Drosophila melanogaster: one gene and its partners. The protein of the gene in region 2 interacts with the protein of the main gene of each other region in a pairwise test. Each region holds a gene or a part of one and is shown on either strand. Other genes may lie near its edges. The genes, in order: mid, CG15262, CG32548 and hbn.

Evidence for each region.
Region 1: the proteins of CG15262 (region 2) and mid interact in a two-hybrid assay, tested with the Drosophila melanogaster proteins (one large-scale study listed by BioGRID).
Region 3: the proteins of CG15262 (region 2) and CG32548 interact in a two-hybrid assay, tested with the Drosophila melanogaster proteins (one large-scale study listed by BioGRID).
Region 4: the proteins of CG15262 (region 2) and hbn interact in a two-hybrid assay, tested with the Drosophila melanogaster proteins (one large-scale study listed by BioGRID).

The regions. Positions count from the first base shown.
Region 1 is NT_033779.5:5,459,960-5,467,664, reverse strand, and holds mid (midline), read right to left. Parts: upstream 6,027-7,705; 5' UTR 5,748-6,026; coding exon 5,561-5,747; intron 3,847-5,560; coding exon 3,396-3,846; intron 2,446-3,395; coding exon 2,160-2,445; intron 1,772-2,159; coding exon 953-1,771; 3' UTR 55-952; downstream 1-54.
Region 2 is NT_033779.5:15,296,205-15,299,898, reverse strand, and holds CG15262 (uncharacterized protein), read right to left. Parts: upstream 2,092-3,694; 5' UTR 1,953-2,091; coding exon 636-1,952; 3' UTR 532-635; downstream 1-531.
Region 3 is NC_004354.4:18,435,213-18,442,172, forward strand, and holds CG32548 (uncharacterized protein), read right to left. Parts: upstream 5,370-6,960; 5' UTR 5,197-5,369; coding exon 4,978-5,196; intron 4,865-4,977; exon of another isoform or gene 4,763-4,864; coding exon of another isoform or gene 4,604-4,762; intron 4,551-4,603; coding exon of another isoform or gene 4,482-4,550; exon of another isoform or gene 4,455-4,481; intron 4,049-4,454; exon of another isoform or gene 3,999-4,048; coding exon of another isoform or gene 3,684-3,998; exon of another isoform or gene 3,656-3,683; intron 3,022-3,655; exon of another isoform or gene 2,940-3,021; coding exon of another isoform or gene 2,292-2,939; exon of another isoform or gene 2,278-2,291; intron 2,089-2,277; exon of another isoform or gene 1,916-2,088; coding exon of another isoform or gene 1,790-1,915; intron 1,590-1,789; coding exon 651-1,589; 3' UTR 507-650; downstream 1-506. Other genes in the region: CG6290 (uncharacterized protein), read left to right, coding at 2,292-2,939; CG32551 (uncharacterized protein), read left to right, coding at 3,684-3,998; CG43841 (uncharacterized protein), read left to right, coding at 4,482-4,550, 4,604-4,762.
Region 4 is NT_033778.4:20,954,892-20,962,782, forward strand, and holds the start of hbn (homeobrain), read right to left. Parts: upstream 6,019-7,891; 5' UTR 5,697-6,018; coding exon 5,540-5,696; intron 3,955-5,539; coding exon 3,648-3,954; intron 3,499-3,647; coding exon 3,369-3,498; intron 885-3,368; coding exon 797-884; intron 571-796; coding exon 23-570; 3' UTR 1-22.

The DNA of each region.
Region 1 (7,705 bases), 9.8 Mb from region 2:
CTATCTGTTCAAATATCGAATAAAAATTCCAATTAAAAAAACGTTGCTAGTTTTGGTTCACATATTTTTATTTATTTTTGATTGGTTTTTGTATGTTTGTGTTTTTTTTTCTTCATATTTTTCGTTTAATAATTTTTGTTTAAATATTTTTCGTGTTTTCACTTTTTTTAGCGTTCACATTGAATACATATTATGGTTTTACTCTCCTTTAATTTATGCTAAATAAATCTTTACGTTTTCGCCGGATAAATATAACTAACTGAAGCGTCTATGAATTTACTGTTAATACTATGAATATATCATTATATATAATAGCATTACTAACGATTTATGCTTACACTACATAGCTATATATAGTTTACAATCGTGCAGCGTTTTATTTATGTATATGTATATTTTTTTGTTTTGCTTAGTTTTTGAGTGAATTTCGTTCTAACTTTACACTGAGATGAGTTTTCGAACAACATTTAAACATTTGTACAATAAGTTAAACTAGATTACAAAAATTGTCTAGGGGAAAGTGAGAAGAACTGTACAGCTTATACATAATTTAAGATTTTTACAACAAATAGAGAAAAGTTTTTCTTTGCCTTCATATAAACAACAAATAATTTACAACATTCAAAAAGATGGCTAACCTTTTTTGTGTAGTTTTCACTGGGCTTAAAGGTCGTCTAAATTGAAAAATAAAGCTAAAGTTTAAGCAATTTCATTGACTGAAAAGAAACTCAGCAGTAATATTTGCCAGAAACGATCTTTTTTATAAGAAATCATATCGGAAAGCAAAATATTGTATTAAAAACTTTTTGACGATTTTTTTTTTACGTTTTTTTTTAAAGTATTTTCTTAGTATTCCAGGAACTTTTTTGCATTTAAGAGACGACCTTTAACCCCAGTGCTTTCACTTTTTAATACTGCTCGTGGCAAGAACTTGGTGGCGTGGGCTGTTAACTTAGTGGGCGGGGCTGCGTGAGGCGTTTACCGCGGGTGGCGAACCGGCGGCAGAGGAGGGTGGCCCCTGACCGCCTGGCAGTTGGTACGGACTGAACCGCTGATACTGGCGCGGTCGCATATCGGGCGACGGCGATCCCGACGACGTCGACGAGGGCGTGGATGCAGTGGGCGGGGGTGGGGGCGTCCGGTTGGCGGCCATCGCTGCGGCTGCCGCCTGCGCCTGCGCTTGGGCCTGAGCGGCGGCTTGAGCGGCGGCAGCTTGCTGATTGGCGCTGGCCAAAAAGCCGGCGGTAAGTTGGGGCCACTGCTGCTGGAACATGTGGAAGGCGCCCAGGCCGGGGGGTGGCGGAGGTGGTCCGGCTGCCGCTGCTGCCGCTTGGTACATTTGCGGCATCATCAGCTGGGCATAGGGGGAGTTGCCGCCAAACATTTGCAGATGCTGGCGTGCCTTCTCGAACAGCGCCATCGAGGAGGGATCACCCTGAGCGGCAAACTGTTGCATCAGCGGATCGGGAAAGAGGCGCAGTGGCGAGCGGAGCTGCTGCTCCAGGAGCAGCGCCTCCATCGGATCGCGATCGAAGTCGGTGAGGCGGGAGGAGTCGCGGAAGCCCTTGGCGAACGGATTCGAATCGATCTTCAGCTTGGTGATCAGCTGATTCTGATAGGCCGTCACCGCGGTGAATACGGTTTCCGGGAATACGTAGGTCTTGTGATCCAAGTCCTGCAATTCCTTGGGATTCGACGGAATGCTCTGTCCATGGCTCAAACGCACCAAATGAATTCTGGGCTGGTAGCGATGCATCGAGTTCAAAACGATCTGGAAGGGAATAGAAAAGAGGGAAAAGGTTTCATTGTAGTAAGTCGATTGAAATTTACATAGCTGGGAATTAGGAAAGTGCTTAAATGATTGAAAGTTATCTTTAATATTCTTTAAAACTTTTCATAAATTAGATAGAAGTATATTGTCCTAAAATTCACTTCTTGAATTGAACACGAACATTTTCCATTTTCACAGCAAAGCAACATTAATCAACGATGGTCTCTAGACTCGCAACTTGGCGAATATTTCTTCGTGTTGCAAAATTATCAATTATTTAGCACTCGCGGCTAATCGCTACCTCAGCATCTGAATGTCTCAGCAGCCGAGTATCTGCGCATCTGAGTATCTCAGTACCACAGCGTCTCGGTATCTCAAGTCAACTCACCTGTCCGTTCTTATCCATTTCGTTATTAGTCAGCTTCACCTTCTCGAAGGAGATAACTTGTTTGCGGAGCGCCTCGCAGCTGAAGGGACTGTCAGGATGGGCGTAGAGGCGTGCTGGGGGGGCGGGGTCGGCCTTGCCGGCCACCAGCCATGCGGAGCGATGGTAGGCGTACCGATACCGCTTCGAGTCCATGGGGATGATGTCCATGAGGACGGCGTAGCGATCGGCGGGCTGGATTTGCCTCAGCGGACCCGAGAAACTGACGCGCACAGTGGGGAACATGCGTCTGGAAGAGGTAACAAAGTTAAATTAATTCGATTAGATTTTTGCTTTCATTGAATGCTCCCTTTTTTTGGGGATTGCTATTGCCACACAGCTAGTTAAGTCGACTATTTATGGCCCAGACACTGGGGCTTCAAGCTGATTTTTTCCCATATTTTCCTTTTCGATTCTCCCTGCTTTGACAAGTGCAGACAATGAAGACAAAAGCGAAACTCTTCCTTCATTTTTTGAGTCACAAACCTGTGTATCCCTCTTGTCTACATCCTGTGGTTTAATGTCCCTCCAAAACCCGGTGACATAACCTCCGGCCAAAAAGGCCAAAGGCGGGCATCGGGGACCGCCCTGATGTCTGCGACTCCGAGGTGTGATTTTTACAATATCATTAAGGTGTATATATATCTATCTATATGTGTGACCTGTGTGCGTGTGGTCAGGTGTGTGGGAGCAAAGGTGTGGACAACCCGTGGTCATTTGGATTGAACTTGTTCCCATTCTCCCGCTGACAACAGCAACGCCCATAGCTCTGATTTTCTCATTTTCTTCCTGCGCAGGTACACAAATGTTTCCTTTTTTTTTGCACAGTTTCCCTTTTGGAGGAAATAGACCCCACACATTCACTCAAATGGCATGAAATTTTTGTTGACACTGCAAAAACCATTTGGCGAGCCAATTTATGGGCAACTGACTTAGGGTGAACATCTTTGATGATTGAACACGCAGACACTTGATTGTTCAATAAAGAAGTTTTGCGGAAAAGTGATGAATGCAAAATATTTTGTGAAAAGAGTATATGTTTGGGTAATGCCATTTGGCAGCAACTTTTACCTCCCAAAATCTCCCACGTTGCTCCACCATTTAAAACTAATGCCTGTTTGCACTAAACTCGACTGACTGACTGATGGTTGGATGGATGGCTGGATGGATGGATGGCTTGTTGCTGGTTTGGATGCTTACCTGCCCGTTTTGGTGATGATCATCTCGGTGCCGAGATCGTGAAAGCGATCCCACAGCTCTTTGGTCTCCAGATGGCACTGCACCGGCTTCAGATCGTCGCAATTGCAGGAGCCGACAATTTTGGGTGCCTTCTGCACCGGTTCCGGTGTTAAACGCTCCTCGCTGTCCTCCGTTCCCGGGGATTGGGGCGGTGTGGAGCAGCGTCCTTGGCTGCTGGTCGAGCTGGTGTTCAGTTGGGATTCGGCGGAAGCTGTTTGTGCCACGGCGCCACCGCTGTTGCGACTCTTGTGTGCCACATTGTTGTTGTTGTTGTTATTGTTGTTATTGTGGTGGTGCTGGTGATGCTGGTGGTGCTGATGATGGTTCAAACGACGCGCCTTAGTCGGTGGCTCCTCGGCATCGCTGCAGTCGACCACATCAACGTCAACCTCATCCTCCACCGAAATGGGACCTTAAATGACACGAGAGGAAAAAGCGAAAATTGAAAATTAAATCTGAATTACACCGTTCGTTTTGGAGGTAATGCAAATTAAAATGCAATGCACATGGGAAAAAGCGTTAAGTAAAATCTCTAAATTGAAGCCTTCAATATATTTGGCACTAAACACTTTAAAGATCACAATGTTTCCTGAATTTTTCATCACTTTTTCCTTCATAACTTGTGCGTCTTATTAACGATTTTTCCGTTGTGCATTTGGCCAAAAACCGAGGCCGTGCTTCCGTTGACAACATTGAGTGGTGGAGCTGATTTCGCGGCAGACAGCGTGGAGTCGTCTCATATTCTTGGAGTTTCCGCTTCGCTTCGCGTTTCAATTGCAATGAGACAGTGCGACGACGACCGCTGGCTTAATTGTCAAACTGAACACAAATCGGCAATTAAACAGCCCGAAACTCTAGCTGCGATTGCTCTTTTCCATTGCATAAACAAAAGCGGAGGGCTTTCGTTCAAGGTGTGTGCGCAAAAGTTGATGAATAATATTTTTGGGCTTATCCATGGGCGAACTCTCACATACGCTTTCCATTTTCCATAAGCCGAAAATGGTAACAAAATGATGGGGAGAACTAAGCAGCCCGGTTTTTTTGCAGGTGAGCCCAGACGGTAGGTGTTAAAATGCAAAGTAAGCAAACGGAAAACGGAAAGCGACCACAGAAAACAAAAAAAACAAAACAAAATATGAAATTAAAAAAGCTGCATATTTGATAAAGAGATCGTAAAATACGAACACCTCGTAGCGTTTTTGTTTTGATTTCGGCCGTCGCTAATTTTCTGCGCCTCGTAAAATTAATAAAATGAAGCACATTGTTGAAAATTAATTAACATAATTAGCAGCCTTTGTTAAATATGAATTCCGCGCGATTAGATGCTGTGCACAATTTGCATATTATCATAATATCGGCCACAAAAGAGCGCTGCAAGTGTTTGCTAACAAATATCTGGATTCGCGATCTTTGGCTCGACTTAATTGCGAATGCCGTCGGCCAGAGAGAACTAGTTTTTTCTTTTTTAACGTGGCCGGAACGCCTGCTAATTGTCATTAGCAATTAAATGGAACTCTGCGCACCCAAAGCGACAACAGTAATTTAATAGATTTGTTGTGCAATCAATTAGCGATTGTCTTGTGGCTAATAATGTTTGCATTCGCTGGTCAAGTTTGCGGTTCTCTTCTTGGGCGTTGAGTTGTTAATCACGTTTAATTTGAATTAATCGTATAAAAATTCCATTTTTGTTTTAGCAATTTCTAGTTATTGTGTGCTGGTATGTTAAGTAAGTTTTTGTACAGAAAGCACTGCTAGGAGATAAGTGAATATCTAAAGTTACAACTACCTACTATGATTAAAGATTGTTGAATTAGGGAACTTATAGCTTGTCAAATGAAGTTCTAAACAAAAGTACCCTATGGTATTTGAGACTACAGAAATGAAAGTATCTTAAAGATATTCTACATCTCATCAATGAATCTTGCTGTAAGTCTGTTAAGCCTAAAAAAATCTTGTTTAAAAATCACTATATAATCGAAATGCTTAATATTCAAGGCATTAAATTTCTAATGCATAAAAATATATTTTTAAGAACAAATTGTTCCTATCAACCGATTAATGATTCTGCCGCTTCCCACAGAATTCCTTTCTTATTAAGGATATTTTCAATATGTATCTGAACTTACTTGCACTGCGAATGGAGGACTCCCGACTGGAGGCATCTTCGCGAGCCATGATGGCGGCGATGGAAAAGTCCGTCGCTGAGCCGGCGGCACTTTTGCTAGCCGTTGTTGTTGTCTGTCCACTGGCATTTGGTGCTGCAGGGGCGGCGGGCACCCCGTTGCACAAATACGGATGAGATCCAACCAGCATTTTGAAGGGTATGATGTTGTTCTTAATGGGGCTTTAACTAGGGAATACCTTGGAAAGGTATTGGGGTATTGTATCTGGTCACTTTTCAACACTTGGCACTTATAAAGCTAGATGCATCTTTAGCTTTGGTAACTCGAGGGGTATGTGTATGTTTCAAGGTGTAAGTATCTTGTATCTTTATATCTCTCTTGCTTTCTTTTGCTTATCTTTGGCGCACGCGAACTGAGAATCTCGCGGACTGAGTGTGTGCGCAACGGAAGGCAGGCGACGACGAACTGAATTGTGTCAGGAAAATGTTGCCGCTGAGAAGCCAAAAACGACGGCAGGCGCAAAACTCGGGAAACCAGTTATTCCTCTTATGGTCCCTATGTGTGCAAGCGAGACCACCCTACAGCGAGCCGCGCCAGTACGAGTGCAAGCGGGATAGCCCTATAGCCGCACACTCTGAGTGAAAACGCCACTCGCTCTCTCGTTTTCCAATTGGAAAATCGGCGGGGGAGTGAACGTGCGACAGAGAGAAAGGCGGCGCTGTCAGCAACTTGCGCCCCTCTCTTTTCTTCGCCTCACCTCTCTCTCTGACGAACGCGTCATAACTCATTTACAATTAAAAATGTCGGCGCTTTTGGCCTTCTCCCTCGCACCTCTCTATTTCTCCATAGCGAGGTCTCTTTCTTTTTATTTTTGCCTCTCTTTCTCGCCCATTTATGAAGTGCCAACGTTTTGCTTGCGGTTTTTCTTGGTCTTTTTTTTTAAACAACTTTTCGCCGTTGTCGTCGCATTCCATTTCCTGTTATCTCCTCTTCTGACGTTTTCTTCCATCTTCCGTCTGTTCCATTTCGTTTCCAACACGTTCCGTGTCTCACTCAATTCTGTTTTGAGTGAGTTTTATGTCTCTGTTTTTTTTCTGCAGTTGCATCCCGTTGTTTTTCCTTTCTTATTTATCTGCAAGGACATGGACCTTGAGTCAAGGTTATTGCAATGGGACGTTGGGAATTTATTAGTTTGAGCTCGAGAAATTTTTCTGTGCTCTAAAAACATGAATAAAGAGTGCGAAAATAACTACAAGTTTATTTAAAATGTATATGCAATTTGAATTTATTTCGGTAAAGGGAAGAACATATTTTAAACAATTCGCTTAGTACATATTATAGAAGTCCATTTGAAAACATAGTATATCTATAAGCATTAGTCAAGACATTTTTATTTGTAAAGCTATATTTTTTTATATTCAAGAGGATATGATCATGAAATTTAGATTATGGCGATTCAAAAAGTTAACAGGGATATTTTTCCGTTAGTAATTATATACAATTCCACACGCTGTATGATAGAAGCTAGTCCTCTGGAAAATTCCCCCATAATATTTACAGATGTCAACAAATTGTTATGTTTCCCAGGCAAAAGTCAAGACCTTTGTCAGTGCCAATTAACCCGCTAAAAAATGCAAAGAAAATGCGGCTGCGACAAGGAAACTCGAAACAACTGACAGTTCGTCACATTCATTACGTATTGCTCGGATTGCCAATTGCCATGACGGAAATCCTGCGATCCTGAAAAACGGAACGCGGAGATCCAAACTAACTAACAAGCTGACTAATCCCGCTTATCCTGTGCGAGGAACAAACCGTCTTGTTGTGTGATTTTTGTAATTTGAGACATTTTTTAAGTCGGGTAGCGACAAAGTGGGCATGTCACTTTGACACTTTCGCCCTGGGAGAAATGGTGAAAGTGGACGGGGAGGGATGCGTCGTGTGTGTTCTGGTTACAATTGCAGTTAAGTTGATAGCTATAAAATGTTTTATCAGCATTAACAAATTCAAAAGCAAAACGGACGATAGCATTATAGATTGGGATAACTTTAAATACAATTTTATGACACAAGAACGCTGGTTCTAAAAAGTAGAGTGCATACTTTGATTCTAGAAAAAGGTTTACACTTCCTTTCATAAAAAGAGCCT
Region 2 (3,694 bases):
CAATTAACTTGGCTTCGCTCCGGCTTTTGTTTTAATAATAAATTTAATGAGCTGCCAAAAATGGTTGCAAATTTACGTGGCAATTAGCGGGCTAAATGACGGCGACACTTGGCCAAGAGATCGTGTCTGGGCGGAAAGCTGCGACTCCAAATGTGCAACTGTCCGTCTGCTCCATTTTGCTAATGAGCGCTGCGATTTTCCTCGTATCTTTGGGGCTTGGCTATGAAGGTGGTGGTGGTGCTGGGTACTCAGTGGTCTTGTGTGGATTGTGGATTTGCGATGGCATTTGGAGGGTGTGGTTGCTTGGATTTTTTTCGGCGGTGGGTCCGTGGTTGCAAGGTGACTAAAACATGGGTTGGTCATCCGCTGGTTAACTTTTAATACAATAATAAATAAATAGTGAATAAATATGAACACTACAAATTCGCAAAAAACACCAATTGATAGAACTAAGAAAACAGGCAACTATATATACTAAATATAAATAAATACATTCCCCACACTGAATTTATTAATAAAACGCTTATGAATATTTATAAAAAATTTAATTTGTTTTTATAAAAAAGATGCTACAGCGTCAGAGAGAATTTTTAAACCCGTATATCCCTGGCTATTGATGACAAAAGAACTTTCTTCTAAATACCCGACATCTGGGGATGGTATCCGTACGTCACATACAGCTCTTCCTTGGATAGAGTGCGCTCCAGGATCTCGGGATCCAGGTAAAAGTGTCGTGGCAGGATCTTCCACTGCCACATGTTGAAGTAATTGTACTCTCCGAACTCCCGGAATCCGTGATATAAGTAGTTGGGATTGTCCGCCTGGCGAATGACCCAGAAATGTTCATACTTGTGATAGCGCCATCCACGTTCCGCCAGTTCAGCAGCCGCGAGCATCTGCATCATGTCGCCAGCATATGTGTAGAAGAAGAAAAATAGGAGCTCATCATGCATTTCCTCGATTTTGGGCTCCTGTAGGCTCATATTTACATTGAAGAGATAGTTCAATGGCAATTTGTAGCTCATCTCCTGAGGAGTCAAACGGGCTTCTTGAATTGGCCCGGTAAAGATCGAGTCCGCGGCTCCGCCTATATTGTGGGCAACATTATTTCCGAATAGAAGCGGGTTCTGATTAATCGATCGCAGTTTCTTGGCCAGTCCCAACATCCCAAAGGCTCCCTGAATGGTGGAACCCGAAGGTTTCGCCTCCACATTCGAAGTCGTTTCATTAGTGGGTGAGCCCAGCTCAAATGTGACTCCACCCAGTGGCATACCATCACTGTTGGTTATCAAGCGGGCAAAAATTTTGCAATTCTCGAATCCGGGTGGTGGTTGGATTGCTGGTTTTGCCAGGGCAGCCCTCTTGTGGGCCGCATTTATAGCCCTCTGCCTGACGCCTTCGAGCAGGAATTGCTTGGTAAATATCATGCTCAAATTTAAACGGAACGGATTGCCGAGATAACCGTACATATGGGGCAGCAACTCCATATTCTGGCGCTTCTCGGGAGCATGGGTTGGCTGACGGAGCACCTCGTTGCCGTTAGCGTTAACGCACGGATCACTGGAATTACGGATAACTGTATTTCGAAATTTGGCGAGTTCGACCTGCTCGCTGTTGCTCATCATGGCTGTCCAGTCGTCGGGCACCACAGGGCTCGATGTCGTTGGTAATGCGGTTGGTAATGCAGATGGTAATGATCCTGGCAGAGCCGGAAAATCTTCGCGAAAGATGCTGAACTCCGGCGCAAGTGGTTGGGACGGTGATGCGGACGGCGGCAACTCCTGTTTGGGCTTATTCTTTACCACATCCACGTACAAAATGGGATATCCATCCGGGGTCTGCAAAGACTCGGGCGATGATAATGGCGATTGGAAAGGCGGAGGAGGCGGCGGACTTGGAGAGCTCTCCACCTCCTGCTGGTCATCCCCAGTATTGTAATAATGACGTTTCATATCTTACTCTGGATTTCTATAAGACTCAGAGCTTATCTCGTAATTTATAAGCGTTGCGAGGAAAAAACACGTGTGGCAGAGATCGCTTTGGTTTGCAATACTATAGCTTGCCAAAATGACATTTGAGAGAGTCCTGATTAACACTGATTTCCGATAAAATATTCGATATAAAGCTTGTAGTCGAATGTGTTTGTGATACATATTCATACGCGAAAATTACTAAAAGTTAATGTGTCAGATTTTTAATAGCAACTCGTTAAGCAGGGAAAAATATAGATTATATAGATAGATTATATAGATTATACATATATACTTAAGTCGTTTTTCAGCTAAAAAACAAAAATCATAACAAACCTGAAACATTGAGTTTACTAATAAATTAACTTCTCGCATTGTGTGGGTGCCACGGAAATTGCCACAAAGCAATTTAAAAGGTATGGTCATAAATTCAAAAAAAATTCACCTGCGCAGCAGCCAAAGGAAAAAGAATAAAATTGTGCATAAAAATAAGAATGAGACGCACAAAAAACGTTCGCCTATAAAATATTAAATAAAAAACTGGCGGGGAGTATAACCCATTAACTTAAACTGACACCATACTAACATAAATCTCGTTCCTTGGCCAAGCAAAAGTCCCTGGGAATTGACAAAAGGAAAAAAACGAAAAAAAAAAGGAAAGGGGAGGGAAAATATCTTGGCTAATAGTCCAAGTGCTCCTGCCCACAAAATGTTGAGGAGCACATGGTCATTTGCCTGCCGCGAATCAACGAACTTGTCCAGCGGCCTCAAGAGTCACAACACTCTTGGGATCAGGTGCACGGCTCCCACTGCTCCTTACCTGTGCTCCCCAAATTAAGCACAAATAATATAAAATACAATAACGTAGAATCCCAGCCGCTGGCAAAGAAAAATGATACACATAATCGCCGCACGGCCAAGTGCAGAATTTTCAGATCAAAAAAGCAAAATACGTTTAAGTTTTAGAACCGTACTTTGTAATACCCTTGCAATATCATGTGAGCTTATAGTCCTTATTTTATATAAATAGATCGTGTGATTTGCTGCTTCATGCTGCATATTCCTTAGGTCATCATGTATAAGTTACCACTTAATATGCTAAGCACAACCAAAAATACAGTACTCCTGGCACAGAACACTTTCCAAATACCCATGTACAGAGTATATAGCAATGCATCCAGATCCCAGGAACGCGACTAACGAAGCCAGCGAAGCCATCACGAACTGCGGGCAGAAGCTGCTCCGGCCACATAAAGTACAATAAATCATACTCATGTTGCCGGGGACAGCGACAAAAGCCGCCTGCTCCGCTCCACGATTCGCAGTCATACTGGCCACGATCACCTGGCACTTGGCCTGGTCCACAGATGGGTCAGGCCAATTGCGAAGCCATTAAATCGCCATGGCCAGGGCCACAGTCGAGGCAAGTGGAGTCTCTAGGCCACGGAGGTGTCAACTGGAGGCGATCCTAAATTGGATTTTGGCTTTCATTTGATTGCAAAATACTCATTTTTGTATTTCAGAATAGGTTTCTCCCGCACCTGACGTATCACGTGACCATTCCGCAAGCTAAGTTTCCTAGATTACCCAGACATTTACTCATTTCGAGGTGATAGCACACTGAAAACTAAAACATTATTCAAAAATACTTACTGCATATATAGAGAGTATTTTTTGGGTGCTTGAACTTGAATTACAAATGAACTTGTAAGCTTACATATGTA
Region 3 (6,960 bases), on a different chromosome or scaffold from region 2:
CCCAACAATCGAAGTCCGTCGCCGTTGCGACTGCGACTGGCTGCTCGGATAAATGGATCCGCCAGTGGGATGTACGATGGCATGGGACGGATTATATTAACTCTATAAACAGATTCAATGGCAGCAATTGTGTGCCAATGCGAAGGCGGTCCGTTCAAAGCAATATTAATGCATTTATTGCACGTGAGCTCGGCGGCGTGTTAAAGATGAGCGTTGCCGATTAGGAATGACCCATCATTAGCCATGATGAATCTGGTAAGTGGGGCCAGTTAACTGACCAGCTAGATTCCACGGAGCACGTGCCGATGGTTTATTAGTAATGAAATGCTGTTGGGTCATATAGGATGGATTTGGGCTAATTAAGCAACTAACTAGAGTACATAACTCGAGGCCAGAAGTGCACATTCAAACTCTTCTTCAGGCAAATCTAACCCTCGTAACTTCGTAAGCCATAATCACCATTTGATAAGCCTGAAATGCATCCACCCCTCTAAAAACCAACAATTATCATCACTTACAAAATTTATTCTTGCTTGCCCTAAACAATTCCTCTTATCAAATACCACGAAAATTTACGCAAAAAAAAAGGTGTGTGAAAAAAAAATGAAAATACTAGTTTTGGAAGTCCTTGGAATAACAGCTCATCATCATTAGAAGCTGTAGTTGAGATTGCCGCTTGAGAAGCTCACATGAGAGACGTCCGGCGATTGCTGGTAGGTGGGGGATCCCAGCACGGAGGACATGGGAACGGCCATCCCATAGCTCTGGCGGGTGGTGGGCGCCAACTGGCTGGTGGCGAACTGATGGGCCACCGACTGCTGCTGGTCACGGAGCACGTCCTGCTGCTGCTGCTGCATGAAGCCCATGTGCTGTTGCGTGGAGTAGAAGTCTCCACTTGCTCCCCCTCCCAGACTGTTGGAGCGCAAAGGCGCTGATCCGATCACTCCTCCCGGGATGACTCCAACTGGACCTCCTCTTACTGGACCTCCGGGCACAATGGATCCGGATGCAAGGCGCTCGGGCTGCAGGCCATTGTTGCTGAACTGCGGCCGACGGTAGGCGAAGCGGCCAGCTGCGTTCTGTGCTGCCACGCCCGCCGGAGCGCCTCCCACATCGGCGGGAGCAGCTATCTGGGGGGTTTGGGGTTGAATCTGATGAGCCGGTGATGTTAGGCCGCCGGATACATCGGGATAGTAGTGGTAGAGCTTCTGCAGCAGGTGCTGCTGCTGCTGCTCGAACTCGGCTCGTTGGCGCTGATAATCGAGGAAGGCGGCGTGCATCTGGTCCGCATAGCTGGGCATGTTGACCACGCCACCGCTAACGCCCACTCCTGGTCCGGATGCAGCTGCTACCTGCGGCGATGTGGCGGCCAGGAGTTGCTGCTGCTGCTGCGCCAGGAGCTGCTGTTGCTGCTGTTGCTGCTGTTGCTGCTGTTGCTGCTGTTGCTGCTGTTGCTGCTGTTGCTGCTGCTGGAGCAGCGAGTTGGGCGTGACCTTCAGCTTACCATCGGCCCGGAATCCTGGCTGCGAGTACACGGCAGGATACTGCTGTCCCGACGGCGAGAATCCACCAAATTGCGTGGGAGTTTGCTGCATAGGTTAGAGGAATAAACGGATGAGAATGGAAGCTAAACCAGGACAATTTTATCCTTATTCTGAACTGGCTTAAATGATATTTAGATGAGTGTCTAATGTGCGCAAGTAGTAGGCCGTTTTCGATGTGTAACTTTTGATTTCGTTTTGTAAAATATTCATACAATTGAGCTTATAACACGCTTTCCTTTACTCACGGATGAAAGGCCACGCCCGTGATTCTTGATAATTGAGTGCTGGGAACCCAGGCATCCCTTTCCCCACTGTCCCTCCGCGTCAGCCAATCGACTGGCGTTGCCCCCACGAACTTTGCTGGATCTCATGATTCCCTGTTGTTCCGTTTGTCGCGATGTAAACTTAAAAGTTTTGACGAGAGGTTGTGTAGCTCGAGTGTGGATAGCCAAAAATTGATTTTCAAATTCAGATTTTGATACAATTTGTTTACGAAGTCTGTAGCGGGAAAAATTGTAAAACGAACCGATCTGAACCGACTGAGCGAGCAAGTGATACTGACTGGATAGCTCAACCAGTCCGGTGACACCTGACAGCTGTCGTCGGGCCAATCCGAAAGCCTACTGTGATCTCTACTAGCCATCGGTGCCATGGTGTGGATTCAAATCGATATGTATCGAAGGGAATCACGCGATTCGATGGCTTAAAAAGCGCGGATGCAATGCCGCAACCTTACAGTTAGAAACGATGAATCGCCATCAGCTGGCACTTCTCCTGGTTGTCGCGGGTCTGGCCATGATTGCGGCCAGGCCAGGTCCACAGAATCCGCTAGAGTCGCTGGGCATGGGCGCCATGTCTCTGGCCGGAAATATAGCGGAGGCAGTTCAGAGTGGCGCCGCCATCTCCCGCGACGTCGACATTGACAATCCCCTGATGTCCGTGCACTCGAAAACGGCCGTTGGCTATGGAGATGCCATACGTCCCATTGCCACCGATTCATCCGAGGAGGATCGTCGTCGGAAGCGAAGGCGGCGGAGCCTGCATCGCCTCAAACGCGCTCCTTGCTTCTGGAAAATGAGCGCTGCCGCCACCACAGCGGCGTCCGCCGACGATGACGTGGAGGCCAGACGGAGACGAGCTCAAAAGCGGGCCGCCAACAATGCCTCCCGATCCCGAGTGAGTCCCAAGACCACTGGCAAAAAGAACAAGAAGTTGGTGCGACGACGACGGCAGGAGGAGAAGGGCATGGAAGTGACACAGAATATGGACGGAGCGGATCCCTTGGGCCTGGGCACCAGAATCAAGGCCATGTGGCTTTCGTTTGTGAACAACGTAGCGGATGTGGTGCAGCAGGTGCGCCAGAAGATCACCGAAACGGCCAACTCCACGGCGTAGAATCACCGAGCTCCCTGACGACCACCATCGAGTGTATTTTTTTTGTTTGTTTATAAGTGCAATAAAATCAACTGAAAACCGGAAACTGTGTTGAGCGGCATGTTTTCTGGGTTGGCCAAAAACATTACGATTACGTCTTCATTCAAATATGTACTATAGATTACATCCATTTTAAGACCCCATCATATTATCAATGTAGTAGCCAATTAAGGCCAATCACCTTTGGTAAAAGGTGACCCCAAACGGCATTAGAGTCAAAAAAAACGTGTACTCCGTCTTTAAACTACAAATGCTTGTGAGCTCAACTAAACATATCACCAAGGTGACCCAAAACTTGGAATCCGGTTACCATTTTAAAGTGGCATACCTTTAAGAACTCAACCTTATTTGTTGCTCTTTAAAAAGGTCACCGCCGAAGAGTCACCCCCAATCGATAAAGATTCCTCAGGCAGAGGCAATAAAGCAAAAAGCGAACTGTCATTTCTGAGCAATCCGATCGAAAGTGGTCCGAGGAGAAGGCCATTGGGGTCACCACAGCAACTCGACTACTGAAGGCTGTCCAGATGGGAGATACGGAAACGAGCCGAGTCACGATGAGCCAACGGTCAGTGGGCACTTCCGGGCCAGATGAGATGCATCTCGACATGCATTTCGAACATTTCCGTGTCTGGTCGAAATCTGATTGAATTAAAAAGGCTGGGTACAAAAGGCGCATTCAGGTGGCTGGGCACAACAGTTGGCCAAATGATTTCCGGACCCAGATTCTCTGCCCTACTAATCGTGGCCCTGACCCTCGCTCTGGTGGCCCAAACTTGGGCCGACGAGTTCGATCTGGACTACTCCAACGAGTACGACGATGTGCGACCGCATTTGGTCTATCCCGACGATCCAAGGCTGGACAAGCGGATCGGCGATGCGGCGCGGGAGTTTGGACAAAATATAACCCAAGCCTGGAACGCGATGGTGGACTCGTTTAAGAACTACTTTGAGGAACTCAAGAACCTTTTCTCCGACACCACGGATCTCGATTCACCCAATGAAGTATTTTCTAACCGCTGAAATGGGCGTTTTACTTTCGTTTCGAGCAAATAAAGCGTAGCAAAGAATTTAAAACATTCATTTGATTTGGGAAATATCATCCGTTGAAAGCCAACTTGATTGCTTTTGATTTAGGTACATTTCCAAGCGGGTATTTATAATTATTTTTTGAATACTACAAAATGACAATACTAAGTAATATGGTATACATCTGCGGATGATAACCAATTAGGCACTGAATGATTCGGCTTAAAATGCTTTTCCAACCAACAAAAATGAGATTTTTTCATCTCTGGTTTAATTAGATCTGTAAGCCACTAAGCTAATTGCCAATAACAACCTCGCATGCTAACTAAACCAGATGCTAGATGTTGCATCTAGATTATGTAAACATGAAAACATATCTGTTTTTCGCGTAATTAAGCAGAATAACTAGAAAGTGACAGGTTAAATAGCTGGCTTTCTTCTTGGCAATCAATTATTGGGAAGTGAAGCCATCACAGGATGACATCGCCTATTTTAATCCTGAGTCTAGGTCTGCTCCATTGGAGCATTTCGCCCGTCTGGTCACAGGTAAGATACTTCGTACTCGTATCGTATATCCTTGATACCCAAATTCCCTGCAGAATATGCCCACTGATGTGATGGACGCCGTCGATCAAATGCAGGAGATCTTCGAAAACAATATGCAGGGCCCACAAAGTTCGGAGTATGGTGACGGGACATTCAATGGAACGCCCTTTCTACCCGAACAAGCATCGAACATCCAAAACTTTGGCGGTTAATTTCAATTCGAATTCCAATTCATAGTACTACTCTAAAGCAACGCCATGTGGCTAAATATTAAATTAAATTGAAGAGTGTGTCCGCAACTTTTTCCCTCGTATAATTGTTATCCAGTGTTTTCTTAAGCAATTTTAAAATTCAAGTTTAACTTTATGTGCTTTTCCCAGAGTTTCAATAGTAGATTCACCCCTCACCATTGCCGTGATGTACTTACCAACTGCTCCTGCTCCTGCGGCTGCTGCAGCTGCGGCTGCTCCACCTGCTGGTTCTTGGCCGCTCCTCCGTAGTACCGGGTGAAGGTCTGCTGCACTCCGGGCGTCTTCAGGCTGTAGGAGTTCGAGTTGGCGTCCGTGTGGATGGAGACCTGTGCGCGGCACACCTCCTGCTGGCCGGCAAGCACCAAGGCCGCCACCGTCAAGGCCAATGCGAACATGATTTACGTGGTGAGGCTAATGGATGGTTGATGGCTGGATGGCTGGATGGCCTGGTATTGGAACTCGACTTCGTCTCCCGTTGATTTGGCAGTATGTCCGAGCAACCGTGCAATCGGACTATGGATCGTTATCAGCTAAGCGGACGCGACTCGCGAACGTCGATGGTTGACTGTGCAGCGCCCGCCGACTGTCCACCGATTTTATACCGCCTTCGATTGGGGAATGTCCACGCTTGGCTCTCTGCCTCTGCCACTTCAGTTTTTGGCCCCAAAAACAGCGTACATGCATACATATTTTGGCCATAAAGTTTGGCCCAAAAAATGTTGTACTCTTTACGTCTTAAATGTGTGAATAAAGTGAAGTAAATAATAGTTGAACCAAATTTGAAGATAATAATAGTCTCAATTTTCGGTTTATGAAGCACCTGAAAAATCATATTTTAATAACACTTATAGAATAATGACTTCAGTTTATCATTAGAGCGAAATATTTCACGAAGTTAACTTCTCAATAATAGGTTCAATCTAATCATCCATTAGATTATTTTTTAAAAGGTGTCATTTGATTTTCTCTGTGCAGTTGGAAAGTATTATAGCTTCTATTCGAAATCGTTGCCTGAAATCCAAGATATCTAATGTAATCCAATTGAACTGCTGTGCCTTCAAGTTTTTTTCTTTTTTTTTGACAAAGCTGCCCTACCCTGTCGCGTTTAATATAATTTTCCATAATTTCAATTTCGATATATATTTTATTTTAATTTTCACCCGCATTGTTTTGTTTCACATTTTGCGTGGATAACTTTCTTTAAACTTTGGTGTCTGCCTGCGGAATATGGAATAAGCAATAACAACGGCGGGGAGGAGTGTGCAGTGGAGGGTGTAGATGTAGATGGCAATTCCAATTCCAATTCAAATTGAATATGCTCTTTGGCACTTACATAACAATCCGCCCCCGCTGGGCGAACGGCAAACTAAACATAAACACCGGCATAAAACGTTGTTTATAGGAACGTGCCCGGAATGCGCGATATGTCCGAAAAGCGAAACTTGCAAATGCCGGCTACACGGTGCGAAAACGAGTGCGCCTTCAGACCCATCGTTCTCTAAACGCAGAGCATGATGAAGTGAGAAGACTAGTGGGCTTTTGTCGCTGTGTACGAATGGCTTTAGCCACCAAGATACGGAAGCGGGGTTAAGGCCAGAGTAAGAAGCGAAAAATCGGCTCAATTGGAATGCAGTTTTGATGGCCCAATGAGATTTGGCCCGTTGGCAGGGCAACGATTATTATGAAAGCAGCAAAGACCTGGTGGTGGTTAGTGCGTAATGGTCACTTAAGCGCGCGCTTACCTGCCACCGTTGCGTATACGTGATACGTGATCGTCATAAATTTATTTGCGCATTTCATTATGCGGCGTGTAATTGAAAGCGCATTTCACACGATTGAAAGTTGTCTGTCCCCGACTGTCTGCCTGTCTGTCTGTGTGTTTGTGTGCCTGCTGACCCGCATTACCCCAATAAAGTGACCCAAACCGAGTTCCTAACTTAATGTGCCCCGGGGTAATGGCCATAACTTCTCCTTTCACTCCGGCTGCATTCCTTGGGGCTTGGGTCCTATCTATCCATGTGGGGTCGTACTTTCCGTTTCCGTCCGGGCGTGTTTTCTCCATTAAAGTTGACTTTTCCGAATGAAATGCTTGTCGTTTTACGATTACCCCACCATAAGCCATCAAAATAAACAGCGCAAATTATGCAAAAAAGAAGGAG
Region 4 (7,891 bases), on a different chromosome or scaffold from region 2:
TCCAAATATCACGGAACAGCGTTCAGTCCTCGCCCTTGGTGACCACGGAGACGGGTGTGGAGGCGTTGCTGCTGGCACCTGCCGCGCTGTTCGGCGATTGGGCGGCCGTCGAGATCAGTCCGCCCGTTAGCAGTCCGCCGCCTCCGTTGCCGCCCGCTGGGGGCGTGGCATGCGGCGGTGTGGGATGAGGCACTAGCTTGGGACTCTCGCGCGGACTGCTGTTGCTGCACGGCGGGCTAACTTGGCTCATCGCAGAGAGTCCTGCGTGCAGCGATAGATTCTGCGGATAGCCGGCCGATGCTGCCGCCGCTGCTGCAGCTGCTCCCGCGCCAAAGATCCCATTCAGATTGCTCAGGCCCATGTACTGGGAGAGCAGGGTGTGGAAGTTGGGCAGCTTGTAGTGGGGCGCCATCAGGTGCTGGGGCAGCAAGCCGGCGGCAGCGGCTGCAGCGGGATTAAAGTGCTGGTGGAGGGCAAAGTGCGGGGGCCAGAACTCCGACTGCATCGAGCCCGGATGACCCGGAAGTCCATGTGGCGGCAGGGGAATGCCCAGCGGAAACTCCGGCAGACCTGCAAGCGGAAGGCAAAAGGGCGATTTCGTTAGTCGAAAGTCAGAGAGAGCGGGTGGTGGCGGTGGTTATGGTGGTGAGACAAGCGACACAAGCGACATAATTCCTAATTATGTTGCACACGTAATTTGGCAATTTGCGGACAAATCAAATGCGTATCGCTGGTTGGGTGGGTGATGGCTGGGATTTGATGGGGTGGATTCGTGAGATGGGGGTGGTTAACTCACCTTGTTCGGGCAGAAGGTAACCGGCCTTGTCCTGATTCATAAACTTCTCACGTTTGCGCCATTTAGCCCGACGGTTCTGGAACCACACCTGCAAGTGCACGAAAAAGAAGGGAGTTTAGAGATGGAGTTGTAGGTATGCAAATTTTGGGTGCCCTCGGATTTAAGGCTATTATAAGCTAAAGGGGTAATAAAAAACATAAAATTATCTGATATATCATTTACCGAAGAGAGGATATGCCTTTTTCTGACTTATGTATACAACCTGTATACTTTTCAAAAACCAGCATACTTTTCTAAAGGGTATCTATCCCTCGATCTAAACTTGATTAGTTCTACAAAACTAGCGCCTTGGCAAGCGACTTGTAATTGCTTTGACTTTGACCAAAAACCGAACAATTTCCCAATCTATCAATCTGTGTGCTCGCAAAGTTGGAAGCACTTGGTCCTTGGATGGCTCCTTCTGCCGCCTCCAGCCTCGAGTGTCTGAGCCAAAGGACTTGGACGCCGTGGAGGGTTAGGTCAAATACAATGGCATCCAATCGGAAGTGTTCTGCTCTGATTTGCAACGCTCTCTGTCTGTCGCTACCCGTCTCGCTCGTCGGACAAAAGGGTGTCTTATGCATTTTTCGACACTTGCTTGGGTTTGGGGTGGACCAAACTCGCAGCCACCCAAATTCACCCCTATGCAAATGTGCCCCCTAGGCCATCCACAAAATAGGCGTTGGCTGCACATACATTTCCGCCTTTTGGGGGCGACGAATTTTCAGTCCGAGCCGAGGCTCTCGTTTTTGATGGCAAAATTAATTGTTTGTAAATTGAAATCACTTGACAACTGTCTGTAACGCTCGTTGATGAATTCGAGACAATAGAGAAGGCTCTGCAATTATAGACACCCTGTATTTAGATGTAACCCCCTTCTACGGCCACCCACAATCTGCAACAATGTGTGCAGTTGAGCGAGTAGTAAATTAGCAACGATTTCCTTGCTATAATTGCTGCCAATTATTGTCCTGTGTCCTGTGTGTGTCTCTGCTGAGAAAACGCCACCCACCACCCCCAACCCCTTCACAGCATAAGTGCTGTGTGTGTGTGCGATTTTGTGGGCTTTTTAATTGTCAGTTGGCAGCAATTATTATGGCAACAACTTAAACCACTGTGCCAGAGCAGCCAGGCAGTAAAAGTTGAATTGCGGATATCCGTTCAGCATTTATCACACATGTGCGATCAAAACGAGAGAAGAAACTGTCGCAAAAACTGGAAGAGGCGGTTTGTAAACTCAAAAAAAAAATGTGTACTTTAAAAAATTGTATAAGAATTCGTTATTTTGGATTTTCAAATGTGAAAGTTCTTTGCATATATTCCAATTAAAAAGACTGCATAAAGCGTTCAAAAACGCTTTGTTTCAACAATTTCCAGATTGATACAAATTCGCTTTCAATATTTTTTTCGCTTTTTTCGATACCCCAACTCGACAATAAAAATTTGACTTAACCCGGCAGATAAGTCGCTGGTTACTCCTTTTTTTTTCACCAAATGCCCCACACAACGAGCATGCAAATCCGAAAATAATTGCTCACTTACCAACCCCAAAACAAGCGGGGATTACGCTTTGGATACTTTTGTATCTATCAGCAGCTCAGCAAAAAAAATAACACATGTATTAAAATCGGGCAGCTCTAAGTCGGTTACTATTCAAGTACCCGAAACGCTCTGCATATGCGAATCAATGACCAATTACAGTTAATCTGCTAACAGATACGAATAAGTGCAAGGACGCGCAGGATGAGAATGCGGATGTGAGGATGTGAGCATGCGGATGACGACCGTGAAACGGACAATTTGTATTCGAAGCGGGTAATCCCTATGTGAGTGCTTAGGTCAAGTTGTTTCACATTCACATTCTCTTCACTTCTTGTTTTTTTTCACTTTTTGTGCCAGGCCATACTTTTCCCTGCTTTTTTATTCCCTGTCAACAAACAGCATCGAAATTGAGCGAATCGCTCAATCAGATGTGAAGTGTTTGAAAGCGTTTCACAACTGAAATCAAATCGTATGCGATTCGGGGCGAAAGGACACCCTAATTACATGTGTAGTCGGGTATATTTGGCCGCGTGTCCTGCCGCCAGTCAGCACCCAAAGCCACTTTAATTGTTTACCCGAAAGTAGAGTTAATAAAAATACCAACACCATGTGAGCGCGGACGATTTAATCATTTGGAAAATCACAATATCTAATGTCCTTGGTGCCAACCCTCTATAGAGAAAAAGGGACGCGTATTCACCCGTATTCAACCCTCCTCCGACTAACGAACTAAGCGTGTTTGTATACAAAGTGGGGCTTAAGTGTTTCAAAGACCATTTACAAATTGGGTTCGGCGATTGTTTTGCCCGTTCTTATCTAGCCATTCAAGTTCCCAGACTCTGAAAGTGGTTTATTCGCTTATTAGCGGACACTGCGATGGCAATATTTAAAGCCCATAGCCGTTAGATGAAAATACAGATACATTTTGAGCGAGTTGAACTGCAACTTAATTCGAAAATAATTGTGCGAATCGAAAACCAATTTCAATTACCTGCACGCGTGCTTCGCTCAAATCCAATCGCATGGCCAGATCCTCCCTTGTGAAAACATCGGGATACTGGGTCTTCTCGAAGGCTCGCTCCAGCTGATGCAATTGAAATGTTGTAAATGTTGTGCGAGATCTGTGAAAAATCGAAAGGAACGGCAAGGGCGGCACGTTAGATACGTCGGATAAGAGTTTGCCCCCCTCCTCTTTGTTGGCATGTTTTTTAATAGCCCGACAATGGGTAAATACGATTTGATCTGCTAAGCGGATTGTCGCTGCACTCACCTTCGAACTTTACGCGGCCTCTCCATATCGCTGAGATCATGGCCATTGTTCAGACTGGAGGACAGCTCGTCGTCGTTATCCACGTCCAGGCCGCCGTCCGTATTCGTTGGGGAGTCCTCTCGTTTGGCCTGAACCTGCAATTGTTGCTGCTGCTGCTGCTGCTGCGAATGGTGTTGCTGTTGCGAGTGCTGCTGCTGCTGCTGATGCGACAAGTGATTGCTGCCGTTGCTATTGCTGCTGTGCAAATGATGGATGTGATGCGGATGGCCGTGGTGGGGATGCGTAATCAGCACTTCGCTGGGTGTATCTGCGATAAAAAACAAAAAGTGGCAGGGAAATAAAGTTAAACAATTTCGAATTGAACTCGAGTGTGTGGGGAAACAAAAAGTTTCGCGTTTGACTTTTAAAATCGAAAGCCAAACGGCAGCTGCAGAAATTGAAGTTCATTCAATTGTGGCTGAAGTAGTTATATCCTCAATTTTAACCCCCTTTTTTTTGTACGGTCTCAGTCTCGAATAAAATTCAAATCCTTCAAGTGCTCGAAAGCTACGCAAATTGATTTGGCAATCAATAACAAATAAATATAAAGCCGGAATAAGTTTTAACCCCAATACCACGGCAGCGAGCATATAAATATCCTTTCACACGAAACGATTTGGTGAGTACTCAAAACGGTTTCTTTTCGAGCCAAGGCAAAACGTGTAATCAAACTTTAATGAACCTCAAATTAATCGGATTCACAATGGCACCAGGACACGTCCCCGCTCAGCAGGACGCCCGTGTCCTGGTTGTATCCTTATCGTATTTCGTAACATTTACGCAGACCCATGTGGCAAGAAGGTAATTTCCAGCGAGCATCAAATTACGAGGCTCACAGGATGCAGTGTCCTGCGGTGCGCACGCCGCTCGTTGTCGCCAAATTGCAACCTGGACCAATGGGTGCCGTGATTCCACTGAATCCAGCCCAGGCAATTTCCAGCCTCCACCTCTCCCGAGGACTTCAATCTAATTACGGGTCTAATGACGCAATTGCCCGTTCCCGCTCTCCATGCGATATATCCGGCCAGATATGTTTTGATACAGTGTTTTTTTTTTTCTTCTCAAGTAGATCCTTGGGCGAACTGCCTCCTGCAGCTTGGCCACGCCCACAACAAGAGTTCCGACATGCCGAACAACTCCCATTGTCATGATATGTTTTCTTTTTGCTCTCTGGGTGGAGTTCGAGGTCGGTGTTTGTCGGAAAGTTTTGAACTGCCCTCATTCACCTTTCCCAACTATGATAAAATGTCCCTTGCGAGCAATTTGCATATGATATGGATGGCAATGTCAATCTGCCTCTCCACTGCTCCGGCTCCTTTGCGAAAGGATCTATTTGATGTGGTCAGTGGAGTAGGAGGACGGTTCGGATTTTGGAGCACCAAATTTGGGGGGGGAGCCCATTGGCTGTGCATGAAGTCTAACGTGATATTTTGCCCTGCTGGTGGTAAGTTGTAACGCATTCAGGATGTTTTCATTATGTTTAAGATGTGTGTGAGAAATATTTCAAAGCTGTAATTAACAAGCTAGACTAACTAAATAGGTCGTAATCAATTCAAATTATACATTCAAATTTAGAATTTTTAATTCGTTTACGCCTGCCCATAGCTATTCACAAATTAATTTTGATATTGGATTTTTTAAATCAAACTAAGCTAAACAATTTATTAAGATTCTCTAAGAAAATGCAATTATTGTATCTTGATTATGTTTCCTTTTAAGCTTTTTGTGTGATGTACTAAGAAACTCTAACGCAGATCGCCGACGGCAAACGATGAATTTTTGTAAAAAGGATCCCCTTACATTTACATTCCAGTAAGTTATCCCCAGTTTATATTTGTTAAACTAAAACTCACCACTGCGCTTGATCTGGTGCTGATTGCCCAGGATCTGATCGATGCTGTAGACGGCGCGGGGGCGTGAGACAGGACTCTCCTGAACGGGGGCGGGGCGCATGGCTGGCGGCATGATTGGATGGTGCTGATGGTGCTGCGAGGTCGTCGTGGTCATCATAGCTCCACCAAAAGAGCAACTCGCGATCCGTACGGATTTCTATTGGTTTACTTCACTTGCTACAAGTTGGTTTTTTCTTATTTTGTTAGCGATTTTCCAGATTTTCGTTTTTGGCAACTTTTGTTTAATGTCACAATATTTGTTGAGCACGCTTTGAAAATTAGCTTAATTAATTGCTATTATCGGGTAAATTTGTCGATTAAACGATGCGATTTCGATACGGAATACGGAACAGCCACTGCGACGAACTGCAATGAGCTGAATCGAATCGAGTGAATAACTGCGAGTGAGTAGTGCTCGTGACGATCAACAACCACCGACTGAGTGCGATTCCTGCCGCCCGTAGGTTTAAATACGTTGCCTGTTTTTCGCTAGCAAGTGAAATGGGCGAGGCTCGCTCGCTCGCTCTCGAATCCGAATCGGAATCACAGTTCCCAATCCTTCGCTTTCGCCCATGTCCTGCCATGCCAGCCGTCTCTTTCGTTCGCACACGCTCGCTCTCTCCCTCTCTCTCCTGCTGTAGGGGTAGTTTCCCCCAGTATCTCAGTATCTCAGTGCCGTGTATCTGTGTGTTGGGTTGGCTCGCTCGGTGTGTGTGAGTTTGGGTTGCAGGTAGCTTTTGGTTTTGGCTTAGGGGTGTTGGCCTCCTCCACTCTCTCTCTCTCTCTGTCTCTCTTTTCAAATCTCTCTGGTACTTTTCCTTGACACCTTTCTCTTTCCTACCCATTTAATGCACTCTCTTTCGGTAGTTGTAACTAACATGGTTTGCTCATTAATTGTGTTTATTTCACAAATTTCGCTTGTTAAAAACTATTTCACCCTTCCCCCTCTTCCTTTATATATATCTCACTCTCTCTCACAGTAGTTTCCTCTCCCTCCCGTTTCCCGGCTCATCCACAAATCACAAAACAGGTTGAACCACTCACGGGATTGCCAAACTGGTACCTGAATCAAGTCGGCCATTTGCCAGGTCCTCTTTTATTAGTTCCGCTTCCATTTCGGCGATAGATTTATGGCCAGGATCCCCGTGATCTTGAGAATGAGCCCGTGGTTTCATTGAACAAGCCAAACGATCAATGAATCCCTTTACTTAGCAAGGAACTGTGGCAGGATCGAAACCTAAGTTCATTGATTAAACTGATCTCATCTCGAAGGATTTCGGCCGCATTGAATTTCGTTAAAAGCAACAGGTACAGTGCGGAACTGATTTCACTAATGAGTATTCAAATCATTTTAATTAATAGCCAGTGCATAAATACATAATAATAATAATACATAAATAAATTTAATACATATATTTATCTAAATACTATGAAGATTTCCTACCAATCTTATATTTTCTGCATGTTTCCTTTTAATGATAAAAATGTAATATTTTAAGTAGCACCAACCAAAAAGGATCTAAAAATATGTAGGCCCTGGTTTTGCTACGATTAAATAACCGAAAATAGCTCAGCCTTGTTTAAATCACCCACTTAGATCTGGGATTTGCGTTGAGCTTCAGTTTAGACAGGGCTCTCTATCCAAGATTTAGTCCAGAACCCTGGTCCACCCACAGGTTGCATAACACAAAAGGATGCCAAAAATGGCCAAAAGTGGTTCCCGAAAAAAGAAAAACCATCTAATGCCCGAAGGATACATGGTGTGCTAAAACGCCGGCTACAATGATAACAAAGCAGGGACCGGGATTTATGGTCTCTAATTTGTCGAAACTTACACAATTCCTTTGTGCCCCGAACCCAAACAAAGCCAAGGATCGCGGCACCTTCAGCCGGGAAAATCGGGAAAAGTGCACACGTAATTTCCGCGAAAACTGTGAACAAGTAAGCGGGACAAAGCGTTGACCGGACTCATTAATGTGCCAGATGCATGACGCCACAGGACACGGGGACTCAACAGGACGCAGGATTAGGTTTAGTCTGCCGAGGCGCTTAATCATATTTTCATAGGACGCATTCCCTATGCAGATTTCATTCAGCAATCCGATTGCATGTTCGTTTAATTTAGAGCTGCAGAGGGCATCTCTCGAGACTTAGGATTGCGTTCCTGCCCAGATCATACAGCCTCGGAATCTCTAATCTAATGTGGAATGCATAGTGCTCGCCGGCCACCAAAATTTATGCAGCATCATCAGCGCACTTAGTCGTAATCGCCGGCTCATTAGGACTGCTAAACAGAAGAAAAAAGGGCTCCTT